2 linked regions of the Rattus norvegicus genome follow. The protein of the gene in region 2 interacts with the protein of the main gene of each other region in a pairwise test. Links are inferred from orthologs where the notes say so. Each region holds a gene or a part of one and is shown on either strand. Other genes may lie near its edges.

Region 1 (2,562 bases), on a different chromosome or scaffold from region 2:
CATTTTGACCTAAAGGGGCCAATTGTTCCCAAACTGGATGTGAGCCAGGAGGCTCCCCATTTTGAGAAACGCTATCGGGATGGACCTCAATATCAAGTGCACAGCCAGGATAGGCCAAAACCTTTCGGATCCCAGGATGAGACCAAGTCTCCATCAGATCCTACTACCGAAGTCAGGAAGAATTTTGCTACACATCCCTCGTTCCTAATTCTGAATTTGGGAGCTAGAGAAGACCTTGGTGTTTGGGTGTTTGCACCCCTCCCTTATGGGGAGGGGTGGGGAAGTGGCCCAGGGTTGGAGGGGGGGCTCTCGCCAAGGGTCTCACGGCGAGTGAGCAGCAGGGTTGGGACTAGGTCCCCGGACCTCTCTGCCAACAGCCAACCTGGGGTCTCTCTCTGCCTGGCACACAGCCACCGCACGCAGCAAAGTCACAAATCAATTGGAAAGATCTAAGGGTTGCGGTGTGAGACTTGATGTGAGTGAGTGTGCGTGTGTGCGTGAGAATTAACGAACGAAAGAGTTTAGCCCTTTTCACAGTGAGTGGTCAAGCACAGGACTCTTGTGGTTTCACGAGGACCTGGTGGCTGACACCCCTCCCCTGGGAGAGGGACCTCAGCACCAAGCCCTGGTACTGTTGCCATGTTTTTTTTTGGTCTTTTTGATTTTATATTTGATATTCGATAGAGTTTAGAATAACATACTTATTTCTTTAACTCATTTAGAGATGAAATTCTTATTATTATTCATTATATCATGCATTAATAGGGAGGGAGGGAGGGAGGGAGGGAGGGGTTCTTAGCGGCAGCTTGTCACACAGCAACACGAGACAATAAATGTAAGCGTAGCGTTCACTAGATTCCACACAAGAGCGAACTCCACCACAAAGAAGCATAGAGCGCATAGAGGGAGCTGTGAGGAACCCCGATAATGTAGAAGGGCCTGGGGGAGGGGGAGGGGACACGCTGCTTAGATATCCTCATCACCAGCCTCCTTGTTGAAGGTGGTCATGTCGATCTTCTCCGGGAAGATGATATTGACCGCCAGCTCCTCGCCGCTGTTGTACTGCAACAGCAGGTTCTTCTTCTTGCGAAGCATGTGGTTGTAGCGCAGGTTGGACACCCAGGCCTCGCACTTGTTGAGAAAGACGATGGCCACGGTGCCCAGCACAACCAGGCTGGTGAGCACGCCCAGGATGGTGAAGCAGATGGCCTGTCCCTCGGTGAGGAGAGGGGCACTCTTGTTGAGCTCTTTCATGGACACCTTCAGGATGTGGTGCTCGGGCTGCTGGACAGGTAGCTCGTGCACCCCGGGGGTCAGGCGGTAGGTGAGCCCGTAGCCGCTGGGTAGGTGGGTGACCTGCACGGGGCTGGTCCCGCGCTTCTTCGCGCATGTGGGACCCATGAACGGGGGCTTGCACAGACACTCGAAGCTCACCTGGGTGTGCTGGAGGCAGGTGCCCCCGTTCAGGCACGGGCCACTGGCGCAGTTGCTCACCGGACGGCTGCAGGTCTTGTCGACGAATCCAGCTGGGCAGCGGCAACGGAAGTCGCCCCCGATGTCGGTGCAGACGCCATCGTTCTCGCATGGGTTAGGGGTACAGCTGTTGGTCACGATCTCACAGAAGTTGCCCGAGAAGCCAGGGGGGCACAGGCAGGAAGCATGCGAGGCCCGGCCCTCATCATCCACGCAGGCGCCTCCGTGCTGGCAGGGAGAACTGTAACACAAAGATATGGTCAAGGGTCCTGGGGGAGGGGGGGCTGGGCTAGGACAGAGCAATAGGAACAGAACCGACCTCCCATACCCTCTCCTAAGCCCTCTCCCACCTCTTAGTCTCTCAGGCCAGAACAAAGATTGTAAGTCACTAGTCAGATGGGGAAACTGAGGCTGCATTAGTAACAGTTTGGAGTAAGATCTTTCAATGAGCTCGTTCCCGGATGAGGAGAGTAAGGGGCACAGTCCTCCAGGGGAGATCTACTGTTAGGGCTCCAGTCTGCGTCCCCCACCCCACCCCACCCCTTCCCACCCCTTATTATTTTTATTTCTAGTGGAGTGGACCCAGCGAGCTATTGTGAGGAGAAACCCTTGGGGACTCTCGGTGAAGAAATACGGACTGTATCTTTGCTGGCGGGAGTGGTGTCTGTGACGGGCTGTTTAATGTTGGTCTATTCACCCAAGTGCAGCTTGCAAACTGAAGTTGTTTGCTCAAAGCTGAGCACAAGGAGCATTTAATGTAAGTGCTTTTAAACCAGCTAGCCCTTTGTCATCTGATAAATGCCAAAACTCCGGGAAAGGACACCCCCCCCACCGCCCCCACCCCACAACACACACAAGGAATCAGCATTGCAGCTTCAGGCAAGGACTGCAGAGTAACCCGGCTCTGAAAACTTCCTAAGGGCTCCTGGGCTCTGTTTTGACAGACTAGTTCAAGTCGGTTAAAACAAAACAAGTTGAAAGGTCTTGCTCTATGCTGCCCGCCCCCGCCCCTTTCCAGTAAACAGCGGTGAAGTTCAGTGGTCACTACCTCCAATGTCCCTTCTAAATGGGGGATCTTTAGACCCCTGT
Region 2 (4,504 bases):
ACCTGATATCTGAGAGCAGGATTTCCCATCCACACTACAGTGGAAGCCCCGGGGGCAGCAGTGCTGGCCATCATCACAAGATACACCCTATGGACGAAGAGACACCTGTGTGAGCAAGACCCTTTTGCCTGGGACTAGAAGAGTGAAGGAAAGGGGTAAATGCAGATCTTAATCAATCTCCTGTTCCCCTAAGCCAATGGCGGCCTCACCTCAGAGAACGGGCAGCAGCTGGAAGTCCCAGACACAGTGAGAAGACAAGAGTAGCCATCAGGACAGTGGTCACGGATCTGGCAGGAGCCATCTAGACGACGGCTCGTTATTATAGGCCATGTGTCCTGGAAAGAAGAGATGACATCAATCAAAGGATCTGTGCCAGTCCTCTGGCCAATCTGAGGTAGACAGTCCTTCAGAAAGCCCAGGCTGCCAACTGGGGCATGAGACACTCACCAGAAGAGGGTTACAGCAGCTGTAGTTGGCTCCTCCCTGGTCAAGGCAGCAGGCAACAGGGCAGAATTGACCATCTGGGCACTGTGTTCCAGCCACCAGCCTTGCCACTAAGGCCAGCCAGCTCACCAGGATCCACATGGTCTGCCTGCAAATGCCAAGCAAAGTCTGGCAGCCATCTTGAAGCCTGTGCCACCTTCTACTCCAAGGCTGTGCATTCCCCTGTGCTCAGGCCAAGGCCTTGGGTTTATTGAGCATTCTCAACGGGAAAGCAGGCAGATGTGTCGCTCGAGTCAGCGCCCTACCCGTGCACGGCACTCGTGTGTCAGCTTGCACTCACTGTGAGCATGAATGTTGGCAGGAACACCAGTGTCGATTCATATGGCCTAACGCCTGAGAGTCTGAGTGCGTGGAGAGGAGGGGAGGGGGTTATGACAGTCGGGAAGGCATGTGGCTTTTGTGGCTTTGATTTATGGAACTGAGGACTAATTGGGAGGCAGAAGAGACTTTAGCAGCCATAAGAGGAAGCCAGCCCCACACCATCCCGCCCGCCTAACTCCACCCCGGCCTGGTACCAAACTGTCTGCCACCTGTAGCTTTCAAAGGCCTTGGGGGACAGAGTCATCAGTCACATGATCATATGGGAAACCTAGCGGTGGAGAAAGTTGTAAAAACAGAAGTACTGTGGCCAGTGGGGTCTGGGCTGGCTTCCCTATGGGCCAGCCACTGCCTACCCACAACTGTCCCCACCCCACTCAAGGGAAGGGGACACAGAGGCTAGGTCAGCCTCAAAGCTAACTTCATGATGAGGCCTTCCGGACATCACCAGGGTCCTTTTGGACTCCTCAAACAGACTGCCTCTGTCTCTCCCTGATCAGAAATCGAAACTCAGCTGCAAGTGGGAAGAACCAGTGGACCTCTTCACTGACTCTCTGCCTCAGCAGGAGGAACTGAACCTCTCACTTCCCTATAAGCCTTTTCCCAGCTCAGATGGTCTACCCAGCAACCCAGAAAGATGTTATTCTGCCTAGAGCAGCAAACCCAGTAATATTCAAAGACCCTCCAGGGAGCCATTTTCCCCTCTCACTGTATTTCTCAGCAATCTATGAAAAGCAATAATTAAAATATTACTTTCACTTTTCAAATCCATGCCTAAGGATCAAGCCAGGGGGGAAAAGACAGGGTATTAGACTGGGTTCATATGCCAACCGTTGTCTCTGGTCATTGCCAGGGAAGGACCCTGATTCCCAGAGGCCAGAGGTGCAGAGGGATGGGGCAGAAGATTTCTTGGCAGGTGACCCAAGCAGGATAGAAGCAGGGTGGGTACAGGGACTTCGTTGAAGCTGCAGTTGGGTTTTAGTCCTGGAAGTAACACTCTAATCTATGACTGAGGGCCTCAGAAATTGTTCCTTCCCTGTGTCTCAAGTCTTCAATCTCTGCCTGGACACTGGTGGCTACAAAAGGCAGGAAATGCCACCCACGCATGGCAGGCATGCTTTTGATCCCAGCATTTGAGAGGCTGAGGTAGGAGGGTTGCAAGTGCCAGGCCAACTTGGGCTACAAGGTGAATCCGAGGGCAGCCTGGGCTACAAGGTGAATCCCAGGCCAGCCTAGGCTACATAGAAGGATCTGTCGTCTCCCCCAACCCCCTCTCTTTCCTTTTTTAGGTCCTTCCAAGTGCTCTTTAACCTAACCCCCACCCACATAAAAAAAAAAATCCCAGAGGCCATTTCCTAACCAGGAAGGGGTAAGGGAGACCCAATTCCTCTCAATAGGACTGGGGAGTGGTGAGCCCCTGACCACCTCTACATTACACAGCCAGGGAGAACCGGAGCCTTTCAAAGCCCTAGCTCCGGCATCTTCCACTAGGTGGCACCCCCCATCTCCGAGTGTCAAGGGGAGATGAATTTCCGAAAAGGTGAGCCAATCCTAATGAGAAGGAGCAGGGAAAAGTGGCGGGGAGAGGCAGGCGGAAGTTAGCTCTCTCGCCCCCAAGAAAGGAAATACAACTGACACAACCCAGGGATTCAGCCATCAGGCCCGGGTCCTGCCCCCAACCCTTCTGAGCTCTGGGGACCAAGGGCGGGAGACTCCCCACCCACTGCACGCCGCCGCGGAGACCACTTGCAGCATCAGAAAGAGAAAGAGCCGGGACCTGGAGACAGGTGGCAGGTACAGACAGAGGAGCTGGCCCAAGAGTGGGGTGGTTCCTGCCCTGGAGAAAGGCCTGCAGCTTTCCAACATGCTGGGCAAGAGGAGCCTCTTACTGGGGGTATCTACGACAACCGCTCGTCCCCCCCCCCAAAAAAAAAAAGAAAAGAAAAAAAAACCTCGTTAGTGCATCAGAAACCCCTAGAGGAGTTTCAAGAGGCAGGTCTTCTCTTGTCTCTGAGCTGAGACTCCAGAGGACCCTCAATTGCACAGCAGCCTGGTCAGGCCTCTGGACAGTAGCGGGGGAGATATCTGCAAAGGATCCTCCTACCTGCGTCGGGGTCCGCGCTCCCTGGGAGGCATCTGGCGGTCAGCTCCAGGACTAGGGCTTGGCCGCGCGATGGCCCGCCCACCTCAATTTCCATTAGCCATGGCTCAGAGATCCAGGGCTTTCATTGGTTACTTGTCTACGTAGAGGCGGGACTCTCCAGGAATGCTGTGTTTCTTTTTCTACTCATTTCACATTCCTCCTCCCTTTCCTCTGTCTCCCCACACCCCATTTCTAGGGATCATGTGATTAGAGAATCATATGACAGCATAGCCCGCCTCCCCCAGGGCAGCTCTAGCTTGTTTGGTTGCATTTAACCCCGGGTTCTGGCGGCGCCCGGCAGGGTGTTGTGAGACCAGACACCGCTTGCCTAAGGCCACCAACAGTTAAGAGAGCTGCCCTGAGGGCACACGTTCAAGGTCGTTTACTGGAGAGTGTCTGCTTCTGGATCGCGACTTTTGTACATTCTCTGCCTTTTCACGCCTGGCAGCCAGGACTCGAAAGAAGTTGAAAGATGGTTGTGAGGGTGAGGATAAATAGTCCCCTGGTTTGAACGGGGAGAGTGGCTTAGACTAAATCTAATAAAAGTTCAAAAGCGAGCACCAGTCACTATAGATGTGTGCAGAGAGAAGACAGGAGATTAGCTCAAGGTTAGGGAAGAAGAGATTAAAATCCTGCTTGATAGTGCAGCATTAAGTTGAATCTGAAAGAACTTTAAGAGGTTGATTCGAGGGGTTGGGGATTTAGCTCAGTTGTAGAGCACTTGCCTAGCAAGTGCAAGGCCCTGGGTTCGGTCCCCAGCTCCGAAAAAAAGAGGTTGATTCGGCGGGACCGAGGAACTTGAAACTAGATAGGAAAGACAGCCTCTAGTAAGGATTGAAAGCCACGTTCAAGATAAGGGCCTTTGGACTCGCACTAAGTGTGGGGCGTGGGCTTGTGGAGCAGGCTGGTGACTGTGGAGATCAAGGGGTTTCCTTGTTTCAGCTGTCCCCACCTTCGAGGAATTGTTATGGTGGGAGAATAGAGAAATTTTAAGCTGTAGAACAGATTAGCCAGAAACAAGAGCCAGGCTGCTGAGTGCCAAAGGGCCTGGCCAGACAGAGACGGTGATTGGAGAAGGGCCAAGAAGACAGACTCTAAGAAAGGCCAAGGCTGGGCCTTGGAGAAAAGACTGTGTTTGCTTTCAAGGTGGAAGCTAGGTTACCCCACTCCTACCCCTAGAAGCAGAAACCTTTACTGGGAGGCCAGTCAGGATCACGGGGTCAGCCACACAATTCAGGACAGTGGGAGTTCTGCACCGAGAGGAGTGCGGGCTTGTGGAATTCCATGAGGGCTTCTTACACTGGAGCTCCAGGAGTCTCGGAAAGTGTGTAAGACTGGAGCAGAGAATCTAACATAATTCGGTACCCTGACGATGTTAGCGTAGGTGTTCCATGACATTCGTATAGGTATCCCCAAAACAGACCACGGCTTAGGCTTCTAGTGAGACACAGCCATGATGTGGAGGTTGAGGAAGGGAGGTTGCTTAACCCCAGGAGTTGGAAACCAACCTCAGCGACATTGCAGCTCTCCCTCTGAGTC

The links.
Region 1: the proteins of Grn (region 2) and Dlk1 interact in binary tests that used the Homo sapiens proteins (3 or more experiments, as listed by UniProt). The link is inferred for Rattus norvegicus from reciprocal best matches to the Homo sapiens genes GRN and DLK1.

The regions. Positions count from the first base shown.
Region 1 is NC_086024.1:134,197,933-134,200,494, reverse strand, and holds the end of Dlk1 (protein delta homolog 1 precursor), read right to left. Parts: intron 1,715-2,562; coding exon 967-1,714; 3' UTR 716-966; downstream 1-715. UniProt on the Homo sapiens protein: May have a role in neuroendocrine differentiation.
Region 2 is NC_086028.1:87,886,305-87,890,808, reverse strand, and holds the start of Grn (progranulin isoform a precursor), read right to left. Parts: upstream 2,976-4,504; 5' UTR 2,959-2,975; coding exon 2,927-2,958; exon of another isoform or gene 2,775-2,926; intron 593-2,774; coding exon 448-592; intron 336-447; coding exon 210-335; intron 88-209; coding exon 3-87; intron 1-2. UniProt on the Homo sapiens protein: Secreted protein that acts as a key regulator of lysosomal function and as a growth factor involved in inflammation, wound healing and cell proliferation. Regulates protein trafficking to lysosomes, and also the activity of lysosomal enzymes.